Yarrowia lipolytica: one gene and its partners. The protein of the gene in region 3 purifies or fractionates together with the protein of the main gene of each other region. This does not show direct contact. Links are inferred from orthologs where the notes say so. Each region holds a gene or a part of one and is shown on either strand. Other genes may lie near its edges.

Region 1 (9,486 bases), on a different chromosome or scaffold from region 3:
CAATTCGACACAGGCCAGCCTTGAACAAATACTCCTTGAGCGACCACTTCATGATGTTGGAATTGAGGTTTCGTCGGGCAACCATCTCGAACATTTCAATGGCCTTGAACAGATCGTCGTTCTCGGCAGACAGTTCCGCCACCTTGAGGTATGCCTTGGAAGATAGAGTCTCTGCTCGGTCCTCGGAAAACCAGTCTCCGGCATCTGTGTAGGCCTCCATGGCCTTGGGAATGTCCTCCAGCTCCTTCTCGTACAGCTCTCCCAGCTCCATCTTGTAATTGGCACCTCGTCGGAACTGACCACGTGTAGTGAAGAACTGAATGGCCTTCTCCAGACACTTGGCGGCCTCCTGGGGTGAGTTGGACCGGTATGATTTGTAAGCCTCGAGCAGCGAGTTGGCGGCCTCGTCCTTGCTCTCGGACTGTAGTTGTGCGTCAGCAGCCTTCTCAAAGCACTCTCCAGCAAGCTTTCCGTTACGCTGTAACTTGTACTGGTTTGCGGCCTCGGTGTAGAGGTCTGCTGCTTCTTCGAATCGGGTCGAGGAGCCGCCGCTCATGAATGAGAACATGCCTCCGGAGGAGGTCATCTTTTTATCGGCTCTAGCAATGAGAGCGGTGACGTCTGACATTGCGTGGTATGGGGGTGATCGATCTAGGTGTGGAGGTTTGTATGTACGTCATACAGACGCTAACTGCACGGGGGCAGGGTTTGGGTTGGAGATGAAAGAAGCTACTGTACAGCATTTGGCGTTGGGGGTTCGAGTCGTGGGGTTGCACATTAAGTCGCTCAATGCAACGCGTCAGATTGTGCAAGGCTGGTAAATAAAACGCGGCAGATATAAAACACGTCAAAACAACAAGACACGGAGAAGGATATGGACATGGAAAAAGACGGGACACAACACACGAAAAAGACACAATCTGTTCAGGAGACTGAGACGCAGAAATCCGAGACACTGTCTACATCAACACCTGACCCAGAAACCATGGAGATAAGTGTAGCTGAAGTGGAAGCGACATCCATGAAGACACACACAGGGGAGGGACAGAGGCAGACACAAGCCAGTGAATCACAAGCGACGAGCGAAGGACGAATAACAACAGTGAACGAAACACAAACAACAAAAGCGACCGAGGGACAAACAACCACAACAGCCAATACACGTGCAATCCCCCAATCAGCACGTTACAGACGTTTAGTCACATCCTCGTCCACAGCACTGGCCCATGCAGTCAAGTCGCTCACTTACAAACGAGTGGCGGCGTGTTATCCAAGCATTGCAAAGACTCCTGCTGGTCAGGAGGCACTCAGAGAAGCCCTTAAGCAGATCTGCAAGGCGTGGACGGACTCAGTACAAACGGAATTCGACGCGATCTTCGATGAACGACATCTCCCGGAGAAACTGGCCCAGTTGGATCAATTGGTCAAAGACGCCAGACTCAGAATGAATTCAAACACAGATCTGCCTATCCATGTCGATAGACTGACGCCAGATCAAATCATCAAGAGCCATCTACGGGAAACTAAACTCGCACGAATCAAAAAGCTCAAACAGCTGGCACAGACAGTCAAGAAGGAGAATGATGAATACCGACAAAAGATCAAGGAAAACAACGACCAAGTCCATACATCGCTCGACAAGTTGCACAAGGTGACATCGGATATTTCAAAGGCCACAGCTGCTACTCAGGAGATGCCTGAGCGGGCAGAACTGTACGAAAGTTGGAAGGCATTATAGGAGGGGTGAACTGTACTAATAGATTATTTATTTGTTCCACGTTTAGCAACAACAGATGACGTACAGCTTCAAAACGTAACATAGAAGCGGCAGATACGGCATTATTGGACTATCTGACCATAAAGGTCACAGTCTCACAGAATGTGGTCCATGCCGTGCAACCAGAAGCTACAGGTAGCTACTTAAAGTATTGTATGAGTACATACCGTAGTTGTAGTCTACAGTAAATTCCACCATCATCACTACTCGCTACGGTGAAAGTACTGCATTTTTTATAATCACATAATACATTTAAACATTAATGAATTACTTACATATCATCATAAAAAGAGATCAGCTCTGGTCCAAAAGGTAATTAGTGGCCTCGGCAACGTTGTATTTGTGCTTCTGCAGCGCCCGCTTGGCCTTCTCCTCAGAGAAACCCATTCCGGTCAGCTCCTGAACAGCTCGAGATCGAGGAGAAGATGCTCTAACGGGAGCAGCAGAGGGAGCACTGACTGGAGCAGGGCCGGAAGACATACCGGCGAAGATCTGCTCCCACTCGTCGTTTCCAGGAGGATTAGCGGGCGCAGGAGCCTGGTTCATGTCGTCAAACGCATTGTTAAAGTCGGTGCTGTACTGCGACTGGTCCATCGAGTTGTTGGCCTCCACGTTGGTGTCCTCAAGATCGGCAAACGCGTCGTCAAAGTCGTCGTTAGCAGATGCAGCAGGCGCATGCTGGTTACCGAAGAAGCCGTTAGTGGAGCCACCATGATGAGGAGAGCCGGGGCCTTCGCTCTCGTCATATGTGGGTGGGTTGGGGGGCAGCTCCTTGTCATTGTTGGACGCAGCAGCAGCAGCAGCCTTCTCCTCGGCAGCAGAGGGGTATGCTTGTGTGGGAGCAGCAAAGCCCTGAGAAGAGGCTGGGGCGGCAGCTGGCTCAGGGAAATGACCAGGGGCAGTATCGTGAACAGCAGTCTGGTCGGGGAAGTGACCAGGAGCAGTGTCAACAGCAGGGGCAAAAGTAGGCTGAGTAATCTCGTGCTGGGGAGTAACCACGTCCGACGTAGTATCGTCATGGTGCACCTCCTTGGGCTGGTAGTTTTTGTACCGGTTGACCCCAATCTCCTCCAGCTCGTCATCGTCAGAAGAGTCGTCGTCAACCACAGCCTTGCCCTTGTCTCGACGGGGCATCTCGTTGATAGAGTGCTCGTTCTCGTCAGCAGACACAAACTCGAATGACTCGTTGCCAGAGTCCTCCTCCAGCTGCGTAGGGTTAGGGCCAAAAGGCTGGGCAAACGGCTGGTCGGGGAAGGGCTCGGCGGCCTTCTCAAACTCGGGCTGGTCCGAAACGGCCTTGTCGGTGAACTGCTCGAGCGCAGCGTTGGTCTCGGGGTGAGGCTGCTCGCTAGTGAACTGGGCAGGGGGGTTGAAAGGAGCAGGCTGAGAAGCGGGGTTGGAACCAAAAGGCTGGACAAAGGGCTGTTCAGGGAAAGGCTCAGTGCTCTTGAACTGAGCGGTCAATCCATCAACGTCCGGCTTCTGAGGCTCAGAAACAGTCTCCTTGGAGGCGATGCTGGGGTGCGAAGCATGAGCTTCGATAGTATCACCGGTCAGACCAGAGTTAGCTGTCTTAACCACCTCATCGTGCTCTCGAGAACCTTCAAAGGGAATGGGGGCAGTGGAGTCGCTCAGACGGGTGATGTTGGACACAGGAGAGTCGGGTCGGCTAAAGTTCTCGCCTCGAACGGACAGAGGAGCGTTGTTCTGGACAGAAGAGGTGGAAGAATGTGGTCGTGCGAGAGGCAGAGTGAAACCTGCAGCCTCAGGTTGGTACTCATTGAAATCAGACTGAACAGACGAGATGGGGGTGTCGGAGGGAGCCTGAGAAGGAGCCTGCGAGGGTGAAGCGTCCATCTGGCTGAAAGCCTCGTCGAAATCGTCCATCTTGGGTTGGGTCTGGGGTTGTCCGCCAAAAGAAACAGGGGGAGGTCCAGCAGCAGCAGCGTTGCCAGCGCCCTGAGCAGCGTTTCCAACACCGTGGACAGCATGAGCAACACCAGCAGTAGCTGCTCCAAGAGCCGCACCTCCCGCAACAGAAAAGAAAGGGTTGTTAGGAGACGCCCGATGTTCAGGAGCAGGAACAGCTCGAGGCTGGACCTGAGGCATGGCCTGCATCCGAGACATGTCGGGAGCCACGGGAGCGGGTTCCTGGGCTCGTCGCTCAAGCTCCCGCTTTGCAGCCTCAACCTCAGCATTATGGGCGTCAATCTGGGCCTGCATCTTGGCATGCTCCTCCATCAACGCACTTCGCTGCTTGTCATTGATGGACAGCAGGTTCTTTTGGTGTTTCGCCTCCTTTTCGGCCGTGGCCAGCAGCTCCTTTGTCTTGTTGACCTCCTCGTTGGCCAACCGAATGTTTTCCTTGATCTCTGCGTTCTTGGCCTTGTCGGCCTCAAAAGCGGACAACAATTGCTGGTGCTGCGACTGGACAGCGTGCAAAGACGCGTCGACGATAGAAAACTCCTGCTGTACCTTGTCAGTATCAGCCTTGGCGGCAGTGAGTTCCTGCTCGACCTGCTTGACCTTGGCGACCTCGGTCTCGTACAGGGTTCGCAGCTGGGCGAGTTTCGCCTCAATGTCCTTCTTTTTCGTCTGCATGGCGGCCAGCTCGCTCTCGGCCTTGGCTCGCTGGTCCTTGATGGTAGTTGTCTGGGACGTCAAAGAGCCGATCTGGTTCGACAGATTGGCAAAGTCGGTAGACGCAGTGGACAACTTGTTAGACAACTCCGAGTTGGAAGACAACAAATCGTCAGAGTGGATGTTTCGAGGAGCAACAGGAGGGCCAGGGTTGCCTTGGGTAGTAGGAGTAGGGATCTGCTGAGGAGTAGGCACCTGGACGGGGGCCTGGATAGGCGACTTGATGGGTGACTGAGGAGCCTCGACGGACTTGTTGATCTTCTGACCAAAGTCGGACGAGGGCACAAACTGCTTCTGCTGTGGTGGAGGCGACGAAAACAGGTCGTTGAGCTGGACCAGATCGTCGTTGAGAGCAGACTTGGGGGGCGCAGGCTTGGGCTGTGAGATGGGAGGCGATTGGACTCGCTGCTGCTGCTGCTGCTGCTGCTGCTGCTGGGGTTGACCTTGAACCTCCTTAAGAAGGGACTCGGGCAGCTGCTGGGGCAGTTCTCGACCGCCAATGTTCTGCTGAACCAGGTGCATGGCGATGGCAAACTCGGCTCGGCCAAACTCGCCACGGTTATGGAAATCAGCGAGATCCCACACCTGGGCCAGAGTGGCTTCAGGGAGTCGTGAGGTGGTCAGGAAGGGCACCACGGCATCGGCACCGATCAGACCCGTCTTTTTCTTGTCGAGAGCACCAAAAATACCATCGTACCGCTGTCGTTCCTGGGGAGAAATGCTCCAGTCGTTGCCCTGACCAATCTGCTGGCCGGTGTACTGTCTGATGACGCCGGGACCTGCAGCGTTGGAGCCCGTGGACATGACGGAACTGGCAGATGAAATTCGGGCAGACTGGGGACGCACGCTCTCAATGTATCCATGGGGCAGCTGGGCGGGGACCTGGGGCATGGAGCCGTTCATGGAGCTCTGAATAAGGTGCATGGCGGCAATGAACTCTCCTTGGTCGAGAGAACCTCGATTCTGGGAGTCCACCAGGTTCCAAATCTGGCCCAGAGTCTCGTGGGGGAGACGGGCCTTGAGGAAAATGTCTCGGGCCGCAGAACCCTCGACAAGACCGTTGTGGGCGTGCTGAGAGAACAGCTGAGCGAACCGGGCCTTATCTTGGGGGCTCAGAGGGGGAAGGCCTCCTTGAGCACCAGTACCCTGTTGCATAGGAGAAGCGACTCGATGCTGGATAGGAGAAGCGGCATTGCCTGGAGAGGCCACCCGCTGATTTTCTATCAGATTAATGCCCTGAAACTTGGGCAGAGGACCAGGCGTGTCTCGGAGTTGAGCGGACACTCGAGCTCCGGACTGAGCATGGCCAATCAGTCGAAGAGCTGTGGAGAAGCCAATCTGATTGAGAAAGCCCGAGTTTTCCGTGTCGGACAGTTGCCAGATCTCGCCGAGAATCGCAGGCGACAACGACGACTTCTGGAACAGCACCTTGGCGTCTTCTCCGGTGACGATGCCGACACTCTCCTTGTCGGCGGTCTTGAAAAGCGAACCGTAGAGCTTTTTTTCTTCCGGCGTGAGGTTGATTGACATCTGTGTTAGTGAATTACTCATGGCGTCACCTGACCTCAATGGTCCTTTCAGGGGTACTCACTTGGCCGTGGCTGTGGTTGCGGTGTTTACGGGGAGAGACTTGGCATCTGCAGCGTCATGAACTGTAGGTCACGTGTTGGGAGTGGCTGTATGGCAAACGTCACAGCCTATCTCCTCAAAATGATCCCTCGTGAACTTTAACGGGAGTGGGGGGTAGCTAGTGCCGTGGATAGGTTGTGTTTGAGGAGGTGTACAGTGATATTTCCCGGGGGTTTGTGCAAGTATATCAATTTTCACATCGTTAAATATTTGAGATACTTGTATCTGTTATTTTTGTTTTGTTTTTTGCGCTTTATGACACTGTACGGTGGATATTTGAGAGCACATGAATAGGGCTCCAGCAGCCTTCATATTTTGAGATAAACACTAATTTCCGAGCCGACCGAATCGGAAGCCGTTTGTCTGCTTTGGGTCATTGGACTTTATTTCCTCCTATGGACAGAGATTCCGCTTATATAGATGGACAATTGCCCCATTATTAATCGCCAACCGCTTTTAGTCCACGTCGTGTAAACACACCTAGTTTAGGCACCCAACACCGCTCAGACGCCCCTCATCTGTTAGTCTCACTCAGCACGATAACCATGCATGAAGTTCATGCAAGCGGCGCTACCTTTTTTCTCAGAATCGTGACATTATCGTGAGAGTGCCAAATGTCTCGTCTTCCAACCGAACTCAGTGTGCAAATATTCGCTCGGCTGGATACACAGTCACTCATCAACGTCAGTGAAACATGCTCGGCCTTCCGACAAGCCATTTTGGAACACCAGCTTTTCAAGGCAGCAGCCACCAGCATATGTCCCTGGCTCACAGAGCCCATTAAAGAGACCTGGGAGGCCACAGCACGGTACTTAGTGACAAAACCGCAGTCATATACGGAAATCAATAGCTACGACACCAACGAGATTCTCGCAGCGTTTCCCTCGGTACAATTCAAGGCCGATCTCGACATTGCGTTTGAACACGAAGAGGCGGTTGATCCAGACGGAGAGGTCATGTTTGAGACCCAACGGTCGCAATTGGATAGCGCCATGTTTCGGGTGTCACCAGAAGGGGATGGAAGCATTTACATGTCGCCTTCTATGAGCAGTGATGTGACTGAACCGCAGGTAACAAGAGTGAATTGCCAGACTTTGAGAGCTGAAAAGGTCATGGACGGATACTTGCTAGGTGATCCCGAGGTAGTTGAAGGAGGGCTGAAAACCTACACAGGTCAGAAATTTGATGTTCCGGAAGGAGACATTTCTCACCAGACGGTGGTGGGCGGCAAATTGTTTGCCCTATTGAGACGTCAAGGACAGGTCTTCTTACTGAGAGGTGACAGACTTCTGAGACTACCTTTCGCCGGTCGCAAGTTAGTAGACATCAGATTGCACATCGTCCATGGACACGCCTTCTTCACAACCACCAGTCTCATGTCGCTAAGACCGCAGGCCACAAAGCTATTTGTGGTGGGTCGAGACTCCGACACTGTGCATCCTCTATTTGACTGCCACCCTTACGACATTCCACACAATTTTGCTGTGCATGGTGAGTATCTTTATCTGTGCAAGGACATGAAGCTCTTCCAGCTATACTGCAATGCTGAAGAGGGAAAAACATATCTGTGTCGCATCATCAACAACCCCGTGCATTACGCTGCGTCCAAGACATATAGCTTTGGAAAGTACCTGTTGATCAAGAGCTTTGCGGGGTCTCAGGTTCTATTCGATTTGGAGAGCGACTCCATGTCACATATCATCCACGACCGTGACGTCAATTGCATCATGCTCTACGAGGACGAACTCGTTTGTTTTTGTTTCTCGAAGAGCATGCTTCTTCGCCTAGGAGGCACTAATGGAACTACATAGGCTGCATCAAAATCTCCAGATTAAACACGGAGTAGGAAAGCAAACACAGGAGCATGTGTAAAAATACACAAAGTCAGACGACACCACTTTAGCCGAAAGTGCAAAAACACATTACGTACCATCTGTATGGGATCACATACAGGTAATGTACATGTACTGTACCGCTACAGGCATTCGGTACCCATGACGTACAAACCCCTAATACCTCAAGGATCACACCACACCATACCATCTATAACTTCAATTCAATACGGTGCGAATAGACATGTGAAAGCATCACATTCGCCTTACTGTACTTGTACCGGTACTCGTACGTGACATAGTCTATTGGCAATTCTCCCGGCTTCGGCACAAACGTTGAGCCTCACCAATAACATTGAAGGTGATCTTAGTGCCGGCTACATACTGTACACAAGGAGTACATACGGTACTGTACCTGAAAAGGACTCAAACCATCAGGAATTTACCCCGCAATATGTATACACGGCTCCGATGGTGCTTTATTGGGTGGCAGCTATCAAATGGTGGACTCCCAAGAATGCTTGTATCTTCGCTAAGGTGAGCAGTTCGTCCCCGGCTTCCTCGAGGTTAGGGCATCGGACATTTCCTCAGTCGTCTTTAGGTTGGCTTTCAACGGTTTCAAAAACCAGGCCATGGCCTGGAGTGCCGAAACCATGTTGGTCTGGGGAAATGGAGATTTCCAAGGGGATTCTCCGGGTTATTTGATTGTGATTGTGATTGTGATTGGTGGGTAGTTCGATTGAGATGTTTGGCATTGAAACGACAAATTCAGAGCTCCAGTATGTCGTACTAGTAGCCCCGGGCTGATATCGATCCGCGTAAATTCAGAGCAATGCCAAGATCCTTATTTCCGATAACAGCGAGATACACATCAGAAGAGGTGGAGACTCTGGCCCCGCACGACCACCACGTCGTCACTCAAAGCAAAGTCACGATGTAGAAATCACAATCGTCCCCATAAGCACGTGGATTCCCCTGGTTTTGTTTCGGCCTCGGCAGTGGCAATTCTGGGGTATATAAACCAGCAAGGTTATGACCTGATTGACCTGCTTGTGGCCTGATAAACCGCCTGACTTTTGTGATAAGGTTGGGAGCATGCGGCTCGGGCCATTGTGAGCATTTTCGTCAAGGACTGGCCAAGTCCAACTGGAAGAGACATGGGCAAAATGTCGACTTTACAGATGTACCCGAAATTGCTTCAATTGGTCTCAGCTGCCGGAACCGGATCTATCGGTGCAAGTATCGTACAGTAGACATGTGCTATTGGTAACCCTCGGTATTGGCTAGGTTTCGTATCAGGGATACAGTTCAACGCTGATCGCATATGGCATGATTCCGGCTCGACACAGCGACCAAGAACCAAGCGTGTATGTCGTAGACTTGCAAATCATGTGGGGCTTATCCCCGGATTTCCCCAAGTCACGTTTTCACAAAGGCTGTCTCCCGAATGCATGAGCCGAGGCAGGCTAAACTGGTTTGTTCATGTACCCCACACAACGTAAAGATGCACCCCATGTGCAGTGAAATACCACAAGTATATATATACCGACCTACCCGAGATAGCAAATTGATTCTACACTTACACTACCAATTCTTACATCAAACCAA
Region 2 (6,759 bases), on a different chromosome or scaffold from region 3:
TAAGATAAAGACTGCGGCTGATACCTGATGAGACCAAGCATAGACTAAAGCAGCAAAAAAGGGACCATAATACTAGTATTCAACCAAATCAGCAGTTGCGGCAGTTTCAACATTACACGTTCTTTGAACTTTTATAAGAGCCCAGAGCCTTTCGCTTCATTCTCTTCTTTTTCTACGACACAGCCATCTCCACAATGAGACTGGTTTCATTTCTCCCATTATTGCTGATCCACACGACAGCAGCGACGTCAGCAGATACCACAGCAGTAGATTTGTCAGACTTCTACGCAGGAACAAATCCTAGTGCACTTGATTCGGCTATTTCAGTGCCCGAGGGAAATTACAAGCCCAAACACGTGGTTCACATTTCCAGACGACGTCTGATATGCAGAACCAACGAAGATACAGGAGAAGAAATCTGCAAGGTGGACAATTCCGACCCCCAGGAATCAATCATCGAAGAAGTTGATTGTTCCAAGAAGGAGAGAAACACCAATGTTGGTCTCAGAGTAGGTGCTCTGTTTGCTGTGCTCGGTACTTCTGCTCTGGGCGTGTTCCCTCCAGTGCTGGCTGAATCCATCTGGAGAATCAATCTCGAAACTCTCCCTATGACCTTCATCAAACAGTTTGGCACAGGTGTCGTTCTGTCCACTGCATTCGTTCATCTAGGAGCTGAGGCTACCGAAGAGTTCAACAACCCCTGCATCGGAGAGGTTGAGTACAAGCCTACTCCCCTGGCCTTTGTGCTGGCTGGCCTCTTCATCTCCTTCCTCATTGAATACCTCGGAGCCCGTCTTTTGAGATGGAGAGCAAACACCCTAGAGGCTCGACGAAACGAGAACCAAGACTGCGAGGAGACCAAGTGCGGACATGATCACGACCACGGCCATATTATTGACAACACTGGAGGAGACACTGAGGACTCTGACAATGGGGGAGAACCCGTTCAAGAGATTGTCGAAGATGTTATTGAAAAGGCTCCCTCTCGTCTCTCTTCCTCTTCTGTCAGAAGAAGTACTACTCAGACAACTGCTCCCCCTCCTCCTATCGCCGGCGGATGCCACTCCCACGGTCTCATTGACCCCACTGATAAGTTTTCCGTCTGGATTATGGAGGCAGGTATCATTTTCCACTCTGTTCTGGTTGGAGTCACCGTCTCTCTTGCTGAGGAGGACACCTTCATCACCTTGTTTATTGCCATTCTGTTCCACCAAATGTTCGAGGGTGTTGGTCTAGGGTCGCGTATTGCTGGCCTGAAGGAGTCTCGCCTCATTTCCAAGTGCCTCATGTGCTTGTGGTTCTCCATCATCACCCCCATCGGCATGGCCATTGGTCTTGGCGTGCTTGACCACTTTGAAGAGAACCCTACCACTCTGTGGGCTCTCGGTAGTATCGACGGTCTCTGTTGCGGAGTTTTGGTGTACGCTGGTGTTGTAGAGATGTTAGGCTTTGACTGGCTGTTTGGTGACCTCCAAGATGCTCCTCCTCTTCGAGTCTGCGTTGGCCTTGTCGGGCTCACTCTCGGAATGCTGCTCATGTCCCTGGTTGGACACTGGGCCTAACACTGTCGTCATACATGTGTTACAGGTATATGACGAATAAAATAAAAAACATAGATATTTAATTGCATGAATAGTTCATTGGAAGTGATGAGTGTAGGTCAATTTGTAATTATGTGATATCATCATACACCCCAACTAACATACTGTAATGTACGCTACCCTGAGTACAGTACAAGTACAATAACATTAGTTCAGCGGTACAGTGAAAACCGTTTATTCAATAAATAGCGCCGGAGGTCGGCTATGTCGTAAGATTCTCCTTTCTTCTAACCTTTTTTGTGTGTACAGTAACGTAATATCGTACCTTTTAGGCAAAGTAGATGCCAGCTTTGTGGAACTCATTCAGCAGAGTGAGAAACTCGGTCTGGTCACACTTTGCGGATCGCATTTCTCCGATGCCGGTGTCGGTGAGAATCTTGTTGATCTTCTGCTTGACAACGTCAGAGAGGTTGGATCCCTCAGGAATGATCTCGCCCTGGGTGGAGAGCCAGGTCTGGTAGTTCTTCTCGAGAACTGCCAGAACAGCGCTGGTCTTGAAGCCGGCGTTGATAGTCTTGTTCTTTCGAACGAAACAGACTCGCAGAAGACCATCCCACTCGTTGAAGTCGATAGGAGGCCGGGGGTTCTTGACCTCAATCTTGACGACCGAAGACTCAACATTGGGAGGAGGTCGAAAGTTACCTCGGCCGACCTTCATGACGTGAGAAACCTTGGCCCACATCTGCACATTGACAGACAGTCGGCAGTACAGAGAATCACCGGGTCGAGCCAGAAGACGCATGGCAAACTCGTGCTGGAACATCAGCACTGACACTCGCGGGGGTCGAGGCTGGTTCAGCAGCTTGAAAACCAGGGGAGAAGAAATCTGGTAAGGTGTGTTGGAAATGCAAACGTCAAAGTAAGGAAGCTCTGTCTTAATACAGTCTCCCAGCATGATTTCCAGTTTCTTCTGCTCAGGCTTGCCCTGCACTCGCTTGGTCAGCTCGGCAGCCATTCGAGGATCCATCTCCACAGCAATCACCTTTCGAGCCTTCTCGAGAATTCGAACAGTCAGGTTACCAGTACCGGGACCGACCTCCAGAACGGTATCACTGGGCTTAATGTCGGACTTGTCGACAATACCCTGGGCCACCAGAGGGTTTTTAAGAATATGCTGACCGAGATCAGTGTTCATTTTGAAGACGGCAGTCTTTCGCTGCTCGCCGCCTGCAGACTCCCTCTGGGCGCCTCCGGAGAACTTCTTTGCTGGTGCCTTGGCCATTTTCTTATGCTGTTGTATAGTGGTTTGTGAACTGAAAAAAAAGATCCAAAATTTATTTTCGATTCATGCATGCAGAAAAAGCTAACTGGCATGGCACTGAGCATGCACAAAGAATCGCCCCCAGAAGTGCCTTAATAATCAAAGAAGATTGTTTTGAGCGTTTCCTTTGCAAACACCCGATTTTGTTAGAATGGCATACTTTTAATCAGCCCTTCCCCAAACATCAAGTTCACAATGTAACTCCAACTAACTCTTAACCTATCAGAATGTAGAGATATGCAAGATTGTGACATGGTAGAATAAGCATCACATCAACACAATACAATGGCCAAGAGAATCAGCCGACCCACAAATCTGAAGAGCAAACCACGACCTCTGCCAGTCGACATGCTGGTTCCTGCCGACAAGGCTCGAGGGTGAGTTGAAGGAGGGAGGTGCAATAAGAGAGCAGTATTGATGATCTGGAGTGTACACAGACCTTGCCACAGCGACACAGATACGATGAACGTACCGCTCTAGAGAACCAACACTAGAGCTTGAAGCTTTTTTGTTTACTGGTTTTTGCCTCACAGTCGCGCCATAGGATCTTGGTATATAGACGCTACCACAGTCTTGTGATACACTGCGGTACACTTGTGCTAAGCTTGGGTGAACTGTGTTTTGACATTGCTCTCATTATTCGACTTCTAACACAGATTCAAGATGATCCTGCTGTCGCTCCCTTTTGTGGTCCTCTCGTCAGTCATTCTCTACAAGCGTCTATACATGGGAGAGGACAAGCGCGTTCAGATTGGTGAACAGACAGAGGAGGGCATCCGATGGTTCACGCCTGAGGAGATTAAGAAGAAGGACGAAGAAAAGATCTTCACCAAGGTCTTTGGAAATGAAGACTGGCTCAAGAACAGCAGGACTAACAACTAATCCACCCACATATTCGTCTGTATTCTGTATATAATATATATTTTTCGATGCTATAGAAATGGTGTGTATACGTAGCACTGCCAGAGCGCTTTGAAAACTGTAGAATTGAAAAAAGATCCATATCCCTCGGTACTGTACCTGTACCTCATCAACAATCCTCCTGGTCAAAGGCTTTGTGTGATTTGTAGTCAAGGGGACGACCTCCTGTCACACTTAGAATCAAAGCCTTAAGCTACGTCCCCACCATAGGCCACGGTCAACGCGATCTATGGTTGAGAATTCCTACCGGACCACTGGTTTGGCGATACGCACGCCAGCGTTGGCAAGAGACATACCATCACGAGAAGAAGCACCTCTAATGCCTTCCCGAGACACTCGTCCAGAGTGGTACGAGTTGTATCCTTCTCTTGACACTGCTCGAGGAGTACTGGGAGGCATCAGAGATTGACGCTTCACAGGTGAAGGGAGAAAGGAGCTTCGGCGACTGTTGCTGCTTGTGCTGGACTCGCTACGTCGCCTAGAGGCGTCGGTCAGGACGGGGGTGTCGCTAACCGACCGCATACCTGAAAGACCGGCAGCTCCAGTTCCTGAGTAACTCAGACGAGGCTTTCGAGTAGGAGTAGCCAAGGGGGTCGCGTAGGAGCCTAGTCTAGATGACGATCGGCTGGCAGGCCGGTTTGGAGAAGGTAGGGGAATGAGAGACTGTCTGCTTGAACCGTTAGGCTGAAGAGAAGGAGTCTCACCTAGCTTCACTGTAGAAGTAGAACCGATAGATGATCCAAAAGACGTATCGGAACAAGATGATAGCGAGCAGATGGATGCTGAATCGGGAGTGGAAGGTTTGCTGCCCAGTTGGGGGTATCTGTGGAGCAGTCTGTTTGGAGAGTTAGTAACGGGAATGAAAGATTTAGTTGTCTTGAGACTTCTAAACTTGTTGAAAATGGCAGCATTGGGAATGGGTCCGCTGTTGCAGCCACACTTTGAGTCCTTAGAGTCCCTCAAAGTGGTCCCTTCGCCTAGAGAAGCTGTAGGAGACTCAATAGACTCCAACGTCTCCATGATGACACTCATATCATGCAACGGAGACTTCTTGTGTGAACTGGTGGATGGAGGCAACTGAATGTCTTTGAGAGGTACCACTGGCTCCGATGCCTCCAGTGCGTCTGAGTCAGGTGTAGACACAATCACTGACGAAGAAGAAGAGTTGGATAAATCAGAAGAGGATATGTTTGCATAGTCGTTTCGCTCCTGAAGCTGTTTGTCGCTTTCAATTTGCTGGTTCAATTTGCTGCTGTCGATATCTCGAAGTACGTGATTCTCGCTGGTTGAGTGTCGTTTGATCACAGGCTTGGGTGAGAATCTGTCCAGAGACACAACTCGCATATGCAGTCTTCTATTGACGGGAAACTGGGGTGCGAATGACAGCCGTGGCGAGATGGCTCCATGATCCGATATCTCTGTGGTTTCAGAGCACTCGGAGAAGATTGACGAGTTGGTAGACAGTCTCTTAGTCGATAGAACCTTAACTTCCTCCACAAACATGTTCTTGTCGTTGCAGACTCGCTGGAGAACAGTCAGTAATGCCGCGTCGAGATCTTCACCGAGCTGGTCGATGGCCAACTGCAGAATCGAAGACCATTTCTTGGTCGACAACTCCTCATTCACCAATGCAAACTCCCCCTTAAGATTGTGCCACTGCTGTTCCAGATTGGTCCAGTTCATGTTCACCAGAGATGAAAATGTCGGGAAAATGGGCTCACATCTGGAAGAGAACTGGGCCACCCTCTCGGGAATGAAACCGAGAGACACAGTCAGCGGCTTAATCTTGGTATCGTTGAGTTGACAGAAGGTCTCCTTGATACTTTTGTCCTGACGAGTCAACCAAGGGTATACTTCTTTGGCCACATGGTCGAGTTGGGATGCAGAAATCTGCCCTGTGAAACTAGACTCGAGCCGTTTCTCCTTGATCTCAAAGACCGTGCTCATGCATTGACTAATTTCCGCGTCGATATGTCCAATCACTTGTTCACACAGCTCAGTGTACTCAATAGCCACTTCCATCTGGTGACACAGTGTCGCGATTCCCTCCAACCTTTCTTTGTCGTGATCTGTATCCTCCGCATTGTGTCCATCATTGTTGTCGATATCATCCTCGTTCCCTGCTGCTAATACAACCAGCCTTGGTGTGTCTTTGACCAATGCCACAAGCCTTGGTAACAGGTCTGTATGTTCCAAAAACCACTCTCCTTCAGAGGAGCTATTCTTAAGAACTGGTTCCAGCGTGGCCTTGCGCTGATTGACGAACTCATGCAAGCCAATCGATGATGGTCTAACATAGTCGATATCCCAAGTTTCCCATCCATTCAGTCGAACAAAATCGTCTCTCTGCTTCTCGAGATTGGAAGCACACGTGGATAGCATGTTATAAGTGTTTGTGTCGTGCAATTACCATGAAACTGGCTGTCGATAGCGTACTATGGCTGAAGTACGCTTGCTATTGCTATTACTTGTCGAGTGTCAAGTGTCGAGTGGAGTGTCGAGTGTTTGTTTAACGTGTGTGTGTAGTGTCTGTGTGGTGGAGCGCTGTCCGAGTGGTGTTGCAATGTCCTAGTGGCCTGAAATGCCGTGCTGCCCTCTTATGTTCACCCTGTGTTATGACACGTCTGATAGATATGTGGTTGAGATATCAGTTGGTATGTAAACCAGCTCTCTGGTAACGTTATGTACGCCAGCACTTGGAGTGCATGTTTCATGCTTCATTGCATTCTGCCTCTGGGACAATCTAAACATACGAAACCTTGGAAGGGAATATGTAAACATAGCGAACACAAAACATAGCAATTGTGTATGCAGGTCAGTGTCAAGTACATGAATAATAATATTGAATCCCAACCTCAAACACATGAAACAGACCCACATATCACCATCTATTTACCTTGGGTATCACACACTATGTATAGCTGACTGCTCATGCTGTACAGTGCGGCTGCCTTTACAGTCTCCCCGGCAACGGAC
Region 3 (7,551 bases):
TCCAGACTCCTCAAACACCTCTCTTCGCACAGCATCTTCCAGAGACTCGGCTGGCTCAATGAAGCCGGCCAGACACGAGTACATGCCCGGAGGGAACCGCTTGGACCGTCCCAGCAGGATTTTGTCTCCTTCCTTGTTAACCACCAGCATGATCACACAGCAGTCTGTTCGAGGGAATGACAGGTAGGTGATACGTCCCCGAGTAGGACAGTCCTTACATTCCACACCATTGTCCTTCTCGGGACACACAAGTTTGTTGCCACCGTTAATCACCATGGTCTTATGTCCACATCCTCCACAGAACTGGTTTCGCTCGATCCAGTCCAAGTAACATCGGGCCTGGGCAAACGCAGACGGGTCCACGGGTCCTCCCAGACGAGCCTGGATCTGTGGCGAGGTGTAGTCGGAGCCGGGATGCTTGTCCTTGAGCTCGTTTCCGACCTTTCGAACTCGCTCAGCCAGGTCGTCGTTTCGGATCTGTGTGACCGTAACATCGACAGCAAAGTACGCCACTCCGTGAAACCGGCCGTTGGTGGTCTCGGAAATTGCCGGATCGCCTCCCTCGGCCTCTTCTCGAATTCCCAGGAAGACCAGAGCCGCTCGTCCTCGTCCCACGGCGTCTCGTTCGGACGACCAGCCGGAAATGAAGTCAGCCTCGGATTTGGCAAAGGGTTCGCCAACAATGGTCTTGACGTCTTCATAGCCAACATAGACAACGTCGTGACTCTGCCGGCCCTCCCGCTTCTCCTTGGGAATCTTCATCAACAGGGGACACAGTCCGTCCAGAACAATGAACTTGGTGTAGCTCGAATGGAGCACCTTGTCCAGAAAGGCATAGTCCTCCCGCAGCCACGACAGCCGGTTAAGAGGGTTGCCGGAGTAGTACGAGTGCAGCTCGTCACCATATCGAGTATTGAGATTCTTGGGCATGTTGTCTGTTCAGTGAAGAGATGATGGTTTGTTCGATCCCGAGATATCTACTACTTGTAGTACTTGCGAACCTTGATGCACCCCTCATGCACCATCGGCAAAGACAGGTACAGCCGAAATGAAAGCAGTGCAAACTCGGCAAACTACGCGAGCCGGCGTCTAGAGACGAAAAAGGGACCATCCAGGAGAATAATCAATGTCAAATAATGCTCTCTAGCCTGGGAAACCTTCAGAAATATACCACATATAAGCCAGCATAATCCCACCGTCTGGCACAGGATGGATCCACATACACTCAACCCGCTTGCATGCATATTATCACCCAAAGTGGGGTAGCCGGAGCGCCAAATGTCACACCTGACCTGAGTCCGTTTGGATCACGTGAAAATGACAGAATAATTATTGGTAAATCTCGGTACTCGTGTGTTCTGTTCCATACATACCAACGCCTTCCACGCCAAAGTTATTTGAAACGTGTCGATTTCTCTTTTGTTGAAAAATCAACTTTCACAGTCCTCCCAATGAGCCGAGCCATATAGCCGAACACTTCACACACACCCCTTCATCCGAACATCAGCAATAAGTACAAGTTGGTACAACCGTAGTTGTAAGTACATACTATACTCGTAAAGGTACCGTGAGTACAACATTACCACCCGCGTCTTCGCTAAATATAATCACTTAATTACATAGCCGTCACCTTCTAACTCATGACACATTATTACTTACTAGATTTTGGTTCAGTCACACACTCATGCCAACTCCGCTAGATCCAGGGAGTAGCGCCATAGTCGTCGTGACCTTGTCCAGGAGGAGCCGATGCACCGGGCTGTCCAAACTGTCCCAGCGGTTGCTGTGGCTGCTGCTGTTGTTGCTGGGGAACGCCCTGCTGAGGCCCACCGGGAGCGGTGCCTGAGCCGGCAGCGCCGCTGTTACCCTGGCTGGTAGGGCTACCCTGGATGCGCTGCTGCTCCCGTCGTAGCCGTGTTCGCCAGTCGGACTGATCGGTATCTGCCTTCTTGTCGTCGTAGTAATCGAGCTGCTGGTTCTCAATGTCAAAAAGTCGCAAAGGGGGAGGAATGTCCCAGTCTCCAATTCGGGTCTTGAGATCTGGCCGCTGGGATGGAGTCTTGGCTCGCATGCCCTGCTGGGGAGGCACACCCTGGCCCTGGGCACCTGCTGCCAGAGCCTCGCCACCGGCTCGGGGAGCCTGCTGAGGTTGCAGACTCACCTGCGAGTTGGAGGCTCCCTGAGAAGCACCGGCGGCGGCAGGAGAAGCGGAGTCCCGCTGCTGCTGCTGCTGCTTGTTGGGGTCCTCGTCCTGACCCTGGCCGGCTGTGAGCTGCGACTGCTGGGCTCCCTCTCGGCCTCCCATGCTGTTGATGACCTTTCTGTATCGGAACACGGTCCAGTCGAACACGTAGTCGTATCGGTAGTTGGATCGGATGAAGAAGTCCTTCATGAGGCGACGCAGATAAATGTAGTCTGGTCGGTCCTCGAATCGCAACGATCGCGAGTATGACAAGAAAATGGCAAACTCGTTGGGCAGGCCCTTGGTGAGCGTGTCTGTGCTGGTGGTCATCTTCTTCTCCATGATCCGGTCGTACTTCTGCTTCTTGGTTACTGCCTTGAGACCCTGCCACGGGAGCTGGCCACGCATAAAGTAGATGAGCACGTATGCCAACGACTCGAGGTCATCTCGACGCGACTGCTCCACGCCCAGATGCGTGTTGATGCTGGCATAACGCGCCGTGCCCGTCAGGTTCTTGTTCTCACGGTAGGGAATATGCAAATGGGTTCGGGGGTCTCGGAATCGCTTAGCCAGGCCAAAATCTATAATGTTGACCTGGTTGCCTCGGCGGCCGATGCCCATGAGGAAGTTATCGGGCTTGACGTCTCGGTGGATGAACGACTTGGCATGCAGATATTCGAGTCGGGTGATGAGCTGGTCGGCGAGAAGAACCACCGTCTTGTACGAGAATCGTCGCTCGCAAAAGTTGAACAGGTCCTCGAGCGAGGGGCCCAGCAGATCCATCACCAACGCATTGTACTCATTCTGTGAGCCAAACCATCGGATGAAGGGGATGCCGGTGCCGCCGGCCAGAGTCTTGTACACCCGCGCCTCGTACTCTAATTGTGGGTGTTTAGAGAAGATGTTTTCCAGCTTGATGGCCACCTCTTCGCCTGAAATGATGTTGACGCCCAAGTAAATGTCGCCGAACGATCCGCTTCCGATTTTTCGCCGGATCTGGAATTTGTTTGCAATTCTCACGTCGCTGGGTTAGTATGTGTGTGATTAGTTGATGTGTGGGATGGGCGATCGTGCGAGCAATAGTGCGAGCAATTTGATGCAGCAGCAAAGCGTGGGGGGGATGCATCGGGTGGTTCCACGGCTGCTCCGCGGAGGAAAGTGCAACGCCAGACCATTCGTTGCCGGTGACATCTATAATATCACATCGCACATGATGCAGTCACATAAGTCAAGTGTCATGAGATGGTGGGTGTGGACAGCCACGACGATAGCAGCGGCGAGAGACTGACACCTCAACAGCGTAGCATGTCATCGTCAGCATGTCATCACCATCACCATCATCATCACATCAACTGCCACCCTTGTCACCCATCACCATCCATCTCCTTTTGTCATTCATCACCCTCCTCATCTCATACCGCATCACGACAGCTGCCCTGTCGCGGCAGACAATACTCACTGTAGAAGCGACGGAACCGAGTTGCTAGAAGACATGGTCGACGGTCGGGGGAATGTCTTGGTCCGTGAGGGGCGATTTGGAGCTTGTGCTTGTGTCGAAACAAGTTGTTGATTTTGGAATGTGGGTGCGGATGTTTGTGGTCGCTAGAAAGTAGAGTCTGGTAGATTTTGTTTATTGAAGCGTGTCCAGAGAAAACAAGAAATAAAGTACTCTAATCAGGTGACGTGGGCGCCGGAGTAAGTGTCGCTTGTTGGGCCGGCCAAACTTTGGTTAGTGGAGATTGGTGCCGCTCGCTCTCGGGGTGTTATGTCCGGGGTCGAGAGGGTGGTTGTATGTGGTAGGGGCTACGTTTCTCAACGACGATGGGTGGTGGGAGAGGGGGAAAAATCAGGTTGGGAAGGGTTAGGGTACAAGAGCAAAAAAGGCAAAACCCGCCGACTACTGCCTGGAATGTGTATTGGGCAGTTTGATGACTGTTCAGAGGTTATCTGGGAGGCGCCGGGTCCCTATTTGTGTCTGTTGGCCGTGGTTGCCATCTGGGCATTTTCATTGGGGCAAAAAAACCGATTTTTCCCCTCCAAAAGCCGCTCCCACAAACCCCCCTTAACTCTTGTCACGCTCTCTCCACGCACACTCACCTTACAGTGCACTCTCTCTACACTGCATATTGGTGCCAGTATCACTGGTACATTCACTCGTATGTACTGTAGCTATAGTATAGTGCTTGCAAGGAATACAGTCCCCCTAGAATAACCTTGGTAGCTTACAAACAGAACATACAAGTGACAAAGATGATATATATTAAGACACCGAAGACGGAGAGCCCCTCCCCAGGTATAATGCTTAGTAATCCCCGCCTGAATCAATCTAGATCGGAAGAGAGGGTCAGCAGGAATTACGCACCACAAAATCTATATCTTGCAGCAGCCGACACGGACATGCGGCGACACGACCGTCAAAATGCACAAGAACTGCCCAAATCAAATGTAACATTGTTCGGGAGGGTAATGACGGGAGCCAAGCTTGTTTTGCGGTGTCTCCAGTACATACGATACATATATGAGTATCCATATGGCTACAGTCCTGGCCCATGGACTGATGATGGACAGTCGCCCTAGTGCCAATATTTATTAATTACTCGCACAAGTACAAGTACAAGTACATTAACTGGTAGCTACTAGGCTGTAACTACTGTTCTGTATCCCTTCGCTGTTAGTCCCTATTAATAAAATGCTTTCTCAAACGGGAAATTACACTAATTATTCACCTGCTGTACAACACTATATATTATCCAGACGAATAAAATAAAACAGTCAAATACCACCAGTCAAATACCAACAGTCGCTGAAATTAAAAACGCTGAAATATATCTACCCATACACGCCTGATCCAATCCACATGATCATCCTCCCCTCATGCTCACAACATGCTCTCAGCTCTTAGATCGTCTCAGATCATGTCAGATCATACGTGTTAACTAATTATTGGACGGCACCATGGACTTTTAACCTGCCATTACACTTGACACCCCCAAGTGCCTTACACTAACTACAGTATCATGTTTAATCACCCTCGAGATATTATACCGTCTTTCAAGAGACCCCACCAGCTGGGCACCGGAAAAAAACGGAACAAGCAAACGTGGACATGAACACGACATCTGTATTCCAACCACCGGTGGGAGACACGACCATCACCAGCTACTGGTAGAGCAAAAAACGAGCTGCGAAAAATCTAATTCTCGTGACTCGCCAAATTCAAAAAGGACCTCCTTATCTCTCACACACACGCGAGGGCCTGCATACCAGAAGTTAATCAACACAGTGACACGCTTGTGCCGCTCGTTAGACAATTATTATTACAGTGAGTACAAGTACAGTTGTGCAGGTATGTGTACACAATGTGCAATGTGCTCATTCACAACACATCTCTCGCAAAATCTATATTTAGATCGATATGCTGCACGTAATTAACACAATGCGAAAATTAAGCCACACTAACACCATGACCATGACAGCCACTGTCCACTTTGTGCTACAGTATTTAGCATTATTTACTTGTACTCGTAGCGTACTTGTTACAAATAACCCCTATGAGACATGTATTATTAATGTGCGTGATGTTACAATGAAGTGACCGGACCACACTCACCTGCCAAAATTAACCATGACGAAAACAGATGAGCGGGCAAAAGATAAAACCCAAAACCAGATATGTCAGAAACGAGACAGACAAGCTTAGGCGGTGACGTTCTTGACGAACTTCTTGAAGGACATGGACAGTCGCTTGAGGGCGTTGGGCTTCTTGGCCTTGACGTCCTCGGCAACCTCGTCAGCCTTGTCGGCAGCCTTAGCCTCAGCGTCCTTGGCCTCGGTCTGAGCCTCCTCAGCAGCGTCGGTGGCCTTGGCCTCAACGTCCTTAGCCTCCTCCTTGGCGGCATCGGTGGCCTCAGTGGCCTCCTTGGAAACAGAGCCGGTAATCTCGTTGATCTTGTTCTCGGCCTGGGTCACGGCGTCCTTGGCGTCGGCGGCGGCGTCCTTGGCAATCTCCTGGACCTCGCCCTGAGCCTCCTTGGCGGCGTCAGTGATCTTAGACACGTCGGGAAGGTTGGAGGTGAAGTTGGAAGTGGTGTTCTGGGTTAGTAATCATTCGTATTTGGCGCGAGTCCTGGGATGCTCTCCCAGAAAACGGCAGAAAAAGGCCTCACTAGGACCCTTGCGCACGGAGCTTCCACGCGTTTCCAGACAGATGGAGCTCTGTCTGGTGCGCATCTAAAAATAGACCCACAGTAGTGCGCTCACCTCCTCAACTCTAAATCATCGTCGGTCGTCAGCGCGTGCAGTTTCCATCTGCATGCTGGGCCGGGCCCCTATTTCCTATTTTCCACACTGGTTTCGCATGTCAAAGCCGCATGCAGCCGGCATTTTTGCCTTTGCCCTGTGATCGCCGTTTTTCTTCATTTTTGGGTAAATTAGCTCAACGCTCTTGTCCCAATGCTGCATAAAGGTCATGCGATGTCAGAACAAAGGTTGGTGCTAGTCATGTGGTGGCAAAAACGGCTGTTGGTGCCACGGGTGGCTCCCAGGGGTGGAGGGAGAGGATGAAAGAGGTAATGCAAGGGCATAACACTGCAGCTGAGGGAAAATATCACATGGACCAGGGCACACACACAACGGATAGGCTCGACCGGCAGGCTGCGGCTGACTCATGCACGTAATGCAATTGCACCCAAGGTTGGGAGTGTAACTGTACATCACTTTTGGGCGCGTGTGAGGCTGAGAGCAGCCGCGTGCATGGGCTGAGTCGTTCCGATTCCCGCGGGCGTGGGTCCATGGCGATAATATCATGAGGCAATCTCAGGCGGTTTGTGACGAGGAGAAACACATGTTTGGGGCTTGTGCGGGAACCCGGACAGTCGGTGGCGTGCATGTGTATCGGGGGCTAAAAGTCTGGGCAAGCGTTTGTGACACAGTTGACAGGCGCATTACTGAGAAGCGGTTGGTTCTGAGGGGGACTCCAGGAGCTGAATTCACAGCCGGAGGCTGTCTCAGAAGGCCGCAGACTCGGCAAACGGTCCTTCAACTGGACACAAAGTCGCCAGGGGCGTTGTCGGGGCCGGAGCTCTGTACACTGTGGTGGGGGAAGTCGTCGTTAAGCAACTCGGGAGATACTCACCTCGGTGGTTTCGGTGGCGGACATTGTTGTTGTAGTGATGCTTAGTTTAGAGCCAGGGCAATAAATATGGGGAGGGTGGAGATGGAGGTGCTACAGTATTTATATTAAAGCGGTTTGGGCGAGCCGGAGGCTCTGGCTTTGTGGTATAAGGGACCTAAAAGACGTATAAGCTAAATCGAAAAGGGTAATAGGGCGAATAGAGGAGTTTGACTTTTGAGATTGGGTACAGTACGAA
Region 4 (7,649 bases), on a different chromosome or scaffold from region 3:
AGTACGTGAAAAACAATTGCTCCGACAGGCGTGAGTGGAGCGCTGTTTCTCTCGAATGTGTATTGGGTATTCATACTGTTGTTTGTTTGTTTTTTGGTTTGTTTTTTTTTTACTACTGGTAATTTGCAATCAACCTTCATTAAATTTAGTTGGAAATTAGTTATGCCAGAAGTTGTACTGGGGCTCAATCCACAACTTCCAGGCATGCCAGAGACATGAGAAGAACACTGGTGGGTATAAAATCAGTACTAGATTACTTTTTGTGTCCTGAATCCCTTTCTTGAGTCGAGAACATGGCCAAATGTGACATTTTTTTGACATTTTCTGAAAACCCAACCATGGTTTTTTACTTGGGTGATTGTACTTGAACAATCCAGCTTTCAGAGTACTGACTGGGTGTAAAGATGGTTGTGCTCATCTTGAAAAACTCCATAAATCACCCCATGAAAACTACCCTTCATCCTATCTCTATCCCTCTACCAGGGCATGTACCTGAATGCTACAGTGCTGAGTGTGCAGTAGTGGCCGTTCAACTCTCTACGAGCAACTGGACTGCTAATTGAACTGTTAATGCATTTAATAATTGTCTACTCCAACTCTCTGGCAACCTTTGGCCACACTCTCTTGTATAGAGCCATAGCGACGGTGTCCATTCCGTTAAGATGCTGGTCGAAAGTAGCCTTCATGTATCCATGAGTACCTAGAGACATTTTGATAAAGCCCGATCGGCCCATCTTGGTAAAGAGCGGCACGGCCTTGAACCAGTTGATGTCTTCGGGGTTGAAAAACATGTATCTGATGGTGACGAGCTTCTTGTGGATCTTGAAGGGATGGCCGGTGAGCACGGCCCGTTTGATGAGCATCTTGCGGGGGTCGGTGGAATCGAACGAGCCGGTTCCAACTAGCTCCATCGCGCCGTTTTCCGACTTTCGGAACCACAGGGCAGGAACATTGCCAAAGGTGGCAGGTCCAATGTATGTGGCCATACAGGGCCGGGTCAAGAACCGGTCAAACTTGGCAATGGTAGACTCGGTTCCGTAGAGAGGGTTTACAACCAGTCGTCGAGGTCCAAGCTGCAAAATGAGCTCGTCCTTAGACTTGATGGGAGCTGTCTCTTCCTGGTCAAAACAGGGGTTCATAGTCACATGACACACGGCCTGGTCCGACTCGTACTTGTGCAGTCCGTAGACAACAAACGGCGAGTCTGCGTGTTCCTGGGCCTCGGACACAATGCTGACGGGAGCCTCAATGTAAAGCTTGACGTATTGTCCTGGCTGCAGGTCTGTGGAGTCCTTGAGAACCCGGTTCTTCATGGCGTTGTAGTTGAAGGTGACGCAATTCTTGTACTCCTCGGGGTAGTCATCCTGAGAGGCATCCCAGTTTCGAAGCGACTTCATTCCTCGGTACTTTGCGAATCTCTCCTTGGCTGACTCGCCAGGCTTGAGTTCGACTTCATCAGGGAAATCGAGCTCTTCTCGGAGGCTCTTGTATTCCTCCAACTGACGTGTTTCCTCGTCCATGTCAAATTCAACGTGAGCGCCATCTTCAGCATCCATATCAACTTCATCTTCCTCCATCTGCTCATCCTCAAACTCGTCGTCAGAGTTGATGAGAGTCTCGTCAATGAGCCACTTGGCCTGCTGCTCAGACGTGCCCTTGGGGACTCGGCGCTTGGCGTACTTTTCCTGCATGGCTTCTCGCGCCGTGTCAGGGAAGTAATGATGCCCGTCGACTTTTACGCCCAGTTGCTGGTCTTGGATTTCTTCTTCTTCTTCCATGACGTCATCCTCCTCCATGTCCATATCTTCATCGTCACCGTCATTCTTGGCCAAAACGTCCTCACCGGGAATGACCAACTCGGCCTGTCCATGCTTCAACACCTCAGCTTTGGCGATCTTGAAATCGCCGTATCCGGGAAGATGAACAGTTCTCAGAAGATTGAAACCCTTGCCTCGAACAACGCCTGAAACGCACACCTGGCCGTCAACCTCCTGGACGTTATCAGCCAGCACAAAAGCACGCTGATCACGCCAGTTGACACCCTTGGGGAATTTCTGCGCAATGTTTCGCACCAGGTTGGCACAGTCGGTGGCGTTCTCAATATCGAAAATCTTGTCCTGGGGGAAAAAGTAGTCGGAAAAGGTCTTGATCTCGTCGATTCGCTCGACGCGCTTCTTGTCGGTGAGCATTCCGGTCTCTGTGACTACAGAGATGACATTACTCACTCCCTGCTCAGCAACACACTTGAGAATGTACTCCGAGTCGTTAAAGGCAGCGACAGGAGAGAAGGCCAGGATGACAAAATCGGCGATTCGGGCAGCGTCCAAAACCTCCAGAAAGTTGTCCAACGACGGGGTGATCACCGTGAACTTCTGCTTGAATCGCTCGACTTCGTGTGTGCTGATTTTGGACTGCAGAGATTCAAGACCCATCATCTTGCACACCAGCCCATTCACGTCAACGTCCTCGCTCATGCCCACAACAGTGACAATCTTGGGGGCACCGCTCTTGCCGTCAAACAGCTTACGGTCCGTTGCCAGTTCGACCATTTTGGCAGCCCGAATCTGGTCCTTCTGATTCCGCCGGTCCCATTTGCCCATAGTCTTGACTGCCTTGTTTCCGGCAGACGCCTTTTCGATCTTGCCCTTGTTCAACGCCTTGATCGAGCCCTTGGACGCATGCTTGGACTTGAATGGCTTCTGCGACTTTTTACTGGATCGATGTGAGTGCATTTCGTTATCCAATGTCGTCGTATGTGAAGAATAGAGGGTCGAAATTTTGGCTGCACATGCACGAATATTTTTAAGCTTTAGAAGTTTATTTTATGGCAGTTTTGACGGTGCCTGGAATCGAACTGACGACAATGGCCACCGTTGGGAATCGAACCCACAACTTCTCAATTAACCCTACTTTTTTAAACCCTAGTCACGTGAATTTCCCAACGCAGAGTTTGCAGTCCTGCTGGGAGCATTTATCGATTTTCTGAAACTTCTCTTTGACACCAAAACCACGACAGATATTCAAGGTGGGTACTGAAAGCGATAGGGATTGAGGGAACGCGAGGTGAAAACCGACGAAACGACGATGAACGAGCGTTCGGGAATTTGCTGCCGGAACGACGAGGTCAACACGGGCATGGCTGGTGGGATTGTGTGAATTTTGTCGTTGGTCGTGAACAGCATCATGACATGATTCGTGTGTGTGTCCCCCACCAATGTCTGAGTCCCGCATTTGCCACCATTTGCCACCGGAACTCTGACTGCAAAAATCTGCCGGTTCCTTCTCTATATGAAGGTGGTTGATTTCCGATCCGCTGGCTTCATCGTAAAACACCAGATTCAAACACACACATTTACTAACTAAGATGGCTCACGAAAACATTTGGTTCTCCCACCCCCGACACTACGGTAAGGGCGGTCGAAAGTGTCGAATCACCAACAACCAGAACGCTGTTATCCGAAAGTACGGCCTCAACCTCTGCCGACAGTCCTTCCGAGAGAAGGCTGCTGACATTGGTTTCACCAAGTTCCGATAAGTCTCTCATGAGTATTTATCAATAAAAATGAATTATTCTTCGACTAGTCGACGAGCGTAGTAGATCTATGTCACTGAGCGAATCCTGAGCGTAGCCGACGATGACTGTAGACTGTAGACCGACTGTAGAAAGGTGCTTCATGTGGCAACTTGATGCTACTTGTACTTGTACCTTTCTGTGTATATACAAGCCCAGTACAAGAGATGTACATACTCGTATTCGTATCCTAGTCTGCATCACGGGATCTCCTGCTGTACGTACATTACTAGTACTTCTTTCGAAGCGGCAGGACCACTGGGGAAGTGCTGGGGGTTTGACGGTGACGGAGATGATGGAGAGACGGACATCATACCGGGCAGTTGTCAGACTACTTGCACATTTGTAGCCGGTGCTTGAGGCGGGATTTTGGCTGGGCGGACTGGTACAAGTATTATCTCGACTTAAGACTGGCGTGAAGAAGCGTACAAGTACATACTCCGTACATAGGAGCTTTAGCATCTCCAAGACCTTTAAACGGAGTGTTTCTTTCTTGAATAGAGTGCTTCATTCTTGGTAAAAAGTCCGTGTTTCCTTCTTGTTCCATCTGGAAGCTCTGTTCGTCCGAGTAGTGGTGGAGGGATCTACAAGTAGTGGATAGAGAAGCAATGGAGAGGATAGAAACTGTAGAACAGAATACCGGTAGACACTGTAAATGATTTGGCGGTTGCCTGATAGGTCAAAGGGTCATTATCGCTTGAAATCTTTTGATTTCCGTTGATATCACGGACTTGGATTCGGGCTAGAATGTTTTCTACAAGTACATATCGGTATTTGCGCATACAAAAAGCAGACAGCGAAACTACATACAGCCTTTATACTGTAGCATCTGGCTGTAGATCTTCAGAGTGGACAGTAGCAGGAGTAAACGCTCAGATAGCCAACACCTCGCTCCCCCTCCCTCCCTCCACTGTATCCCACCTTCCAGCCGTGCATATGGGATGTTTCAGCCACACTCCGTTTGAAATACTAGTATCAACAACTCTATCGATCCCATAGAGTCCATTCGGAACTCACCATGGACTTCAGCCGTCTCCGATGCTCTTTTCTAGTCACACTTGCAGTTTCTATGCTGTTAGGAATCATCTAGAAGATGGGTGAGACGTAGATCAAGGCGGAGAGAGTGGCTCAGGTACATTTCGGTGTGTGGGGAAGCTAAGAACAATCTGAAACCACCGATCGACTCGGAGAGGCGAGACGGTCACTCTGGTATCACTCTTGTGTTGACAAGTCCGCGCTATCCCCCTCATATCTTGGTTGCTCCAGAATCACACTTGCGATCATACTTGCATAAGGTTTGCAACTAGGTTTAGATACTCTGAATTTTTTGCATGGTATCTCTTATATAGACTTGGCTATCTTCTCATGACTTAGCAGTGTTCCACCAACACAATTTTTTTACGACAAGACAGAAATACTTCAACGACCATGTCAACAACATACACATGCAACACGTGTGTTCAGCAGTTTCCCAACTCGGAAACGCAGCGTGAACACATGAAGACGGACTGGCACAGATACAATCTCAAGCGAAAGGTGGCCGGTCTGCTGCCCATCGCTGCCAACGTGTTTGCGTCCAAGGTGCTCCAGCAGTCCGAGGCTGTTCCCGAGCGACGACAGAAGCAGATCACAAAGAAGGAGATGAAGTACCAGGAGCGGATGGCCCGACGAGTCGTGCGACCCTCATCCCCCACCGAGTCCCAGGCGTCTGAGTTTTCTCTGGGCTACGGCTCGGGCGTTGATACTCCCACTGAGGGCGATGCCATCCACGAGACTGCCACAAACGGAGACGAGTCTTCGGATGTGTCTTCTTCCCTATCTGAAGACCTCAACACAAAGCTCAAGCACCTTAATCTCGATGAAGAGACCCTGCAGAGCGTCAAGCATCTCGACACAGATACCATCAACAAGCTGGCACTGCGACGAGCCATCCCCAACACGGACTGTGTGGTGTGCGGCGTGCATAACGACTCCGTGGAAGCCAACGTTGAGCACATGACCAAAAAGTACTCTCTGTACATTCCCGAGCAGAAGTATCTTACCGATCTCGCCGGGCTCATGTCCTACCTGGGCCAGAAGGTCGGTCTCGGCTTTGAGTGTCTGTCGTGCTCTTTTGTGGGCCGATCGCTCGAGTCTGTGAGACAGCACATGCTCATGAAGGGCCACGTGCGAATTCCCTATGAGTCTGAGGACGAGAAGCTCGAGCTGGGAGATTTTTACGACTTCACCTCGTCCTATGATAAGAAGTTGCCTGTTTCTGATGCCGTGGCCAACGACGATGAGGACTGGGAGGATGACGATGAGGAGATCAACTCCGACGACGAGTACGACGACGGAATGCTCTATACCGACGAGACCGGCACCCAGCTGGCTCTGCCCTCCGGTGCACGAATCGGACACAGATCCATGGCCCGGTACTACAAACAGTCTCTCAAGCCCGAGCCTCGAGACGGCCAAGCCACTGTCAATGCTGTGGACATTCGACGGCCCGATGTCAGAGACCCTGCTGCTTTCAGAGAGCAGAAGAAGATTTGGAAGGAGGAGAAGCGGGTTGCCAACAGGAAGGATGCATGGGAGTTGCGACGAAACAACTTCCAGAAGCATTACCGAGACGAGTTGCTGCAGTAAGCGAACGAGCCGCAGAGTACGCGCGAAGCGAGTGCTTACGAGTTCGAGCTGGAGCATAGGATACATACAGAGTATGTACGAGTCTTTCATGGTGTTGGTTGCAGCCGTTTGCAACGGTTCGCACAGTTTGCGAGGGATTGGCATAGACGTCTTGATGACCTTATAGCATTGTAATAGCATTTTTATTGATGACAGAACGAACAGTGGGACGTAGTGGCGTAATGAGTCCGATATGGGAGCGACCGCCGGGTATTTGTATGTGTGTGAGGCGGTTGAGCGTTGTTTCAGTTACCTGTGATGTTGTGACGATACATCTGAAGGTGATCTCTTTGAAGACAATGGGGTATCTCATGGAAGGTGGCCACTCGGGACTAGTGGCGACGGTACGGTACAATAATTGTGTTATTGCCAATCTCATTGAAAATAGACCTACTGCTTGTGTTCTGATGTCAGTGGAATCTGTGGAATCTTCAAAGATCGAATGGGGTGACGTGGTGCATATCTTGTAATTTACTTGACATTATAGTTTGATTTTGTTAAAGATTTAACAAGGGGAACGTGGGAGGTCTTGGACCGGCTGGTGTCTTATTGTTGGGGTATGTGACGCCTCTTGACCCCCGTGTGCTGTATGGTGGCGTCCGTCTTTACTTGAGCTTTCTTTACCTACTACAAGTAATGCACCATATGTGGTATTCTTCCTATCTCTCCTCCATTTAGCATGTCCATATAGACGCCATATTGGGGAGTTGAGTTTCGCCAAAACTCACGTGACGGTACCGAATCATGGAAGATGAGATCACATGACCTGGTGCAACCCCGCGGTTCTCCCGAAATAGCGCTCACTGGCTCGCTTATTGTGTTGTAGCAACCTCGTATGGTGGACCAATTTCGGCAGCACGAATTTCTTTTTCTGTCTCAGCGGGGGTGCGAGGGTTTAATTATTCCAGTTCGGGGCGATGAGGTGGATCGGGTTCCGATCCGACATTCATACTGTACGATACAGTGCGATGAAGTGCTGTATGGGCACGAGCACAGTACAAGTATGTACTGTACTTGAAAGATGGCCGGTACTGTACGAATACACCATCCACGGTTTACCAATATCGGTCTCGTACTGCATCGACATACGAAACATTGAATACCCCCGTCTCAGATCCACCTCATCGATACGGCCTGGGCTATGCCGGCAGACGGTGTCCCCAACGTCTTATCGGCTGCCCCCTGATCGGCGGTGGTGATACGCGGTGGGTCCTTGAGAGTAGGTGCAAGACTCGGCAGTGTAACGTTGGAGGAGGTAGTGTTGGATGAGATACGAGGGATGACGTTAAAAGAAGGGTGTAGTATAGCAGCTATTGCTTCTGCGACAAGACCAGATCAGGACAAACCAGAACCGCGACAAACCAGAACCGCGACAAACCAGAACCGCGACAAGACACGTGATCTGTCAGTT

Evidence for each region.
Region 1: the proteins of YALI1_F11658g (region 3) and YALI1_C32921g purify together in Saccharomyces cerevisiae (affinity purification with mass spectrometry; 4 studies listed by BioGRID, with this or other methods). This does not show direct contact. The link is inferred for Yarrowia lipolytica from reciprocal best matches to the Saccharomyces cerevisiae genes HRR25 and EDE1.
Region 2: the proteins of YALI1_F11658g (region 3) and YALI1_E01159g purify together in Saccharomyces cerevisiae (affinity purification with mass spectrometry, with the first as the bait; 3 studies listed by BioGRID). This does not show direct contact. The link is inferred for Yarrowia lipolytica from reciprocal best matches to the Saccharomyces cerevisiae genes HRR25 and DIM1.
Region 4: the proteins of YALI1_F11658g (region 3) and YALI1_B11794g purify together in Saccharomyces cerevisiae (affinity purification with mass spectrometry; 5 studies listed by BioGRID). This does not show direct contact. The link is inferred for Yarrowia lipolytica from reciprocal best matches to the Saccharomyces cerevisiae genes HRR25 and TSR1.

The regions. Positions count from the first base shown.
Region 1 is NC_090772.1:3,288,665-3,298,150, reverse strand, and holds YALI1_C32921g (uncharacterized protein), read right to left. Parts: upstream 5,969-9,486; coding exon 2,072-5,968; downstream 1-2,071. Other genes in the region: YALI1_C32975g (uncharacterized protein), read right to left, coding at 1-628; YALI1_C32972g (uncharacterized protein), read left to right, coding at 875-1,738; YALI1_C32914g (uncharacterized protein), read left to right, coding at 6,661-7,857. UniProt on the Saccharomyces cerevisiae protein: Functions at the internalization step of the clathrin-mediated endocytosis (CME) as an early-acting scaffold protein. Requires clathrin adapter proteins, ENT1/2 and YAP1801/2, for normal spatiotemporal dynamics and viability.
Region 2 is NC_090774.1:113,167-119,925, forward strand, and holds YALI1_E01159g (uncharacterized protein), read right to left. Parts: upstream 2,824-6,759; coding exon 1,870-2,823; downstream 1-1,869. Other genes in the region: YALI1_E01133g (uncharacterized protein), read left to right, coding at 195-1,562; YALI1_E01163g (uncharacterized protein), read left to right, coding at 3,148-3,239, 3,519-3,744; YALI1_E01193g (uncharacterized protein), read right to left, coding at 4,027-6,165. UniProt on the Saccharomyces cerevisiae protein: Specifically dimethylates two adjacent adenosines in the loop of a conserved hairpin near the 3'-end of 18S rRNA in the 40S particle.
Region 3 is NC_090775.1:1,162,627-1,170,177, forward strand, and holds YALI1_F11658g (uncharacterized protein), read right to left. Parts: upstream 3,677-7,551; coding exon 3,642-3,676; intron 3,207-3,641; coding exon 1,697-3,206; downstream 1-1,696. Other genes in the region: YALI1_F11635g (uncharacterized protein), read right to left, coding at 1-930; YALI1_F11689g (uncharacterized protein), read right to left, coding at 5,879-6,274, 7,317-7,340. UniProt on the Saccharomyces cerevisiae protein: Protein kinase which phosphorylates serine and threonine residues. Can use casein as a substrate. Phosphorylates elongator complex member ELP1/IKI3 on 'Ser-1198' and 'Ser-1202' which promotes the tRNA modification function of the complex.
Region 4 is NC_090771.1:1,174,582-1,182,230, reverse strand, and holds YALI1_B11794g (uncharacterized protein), read right to left. Parts: upstream 2,733-7,649; coding exon 588-2,732; downstream 1-587. Other genes in the region: YALI1_B11781g (uncharacterized protein), read right to left, coding at 3,554-4,033; YALI1_B11759g (uncharacterized protein), read left to right, coding at 5,000-6,186, 6,232-6,373.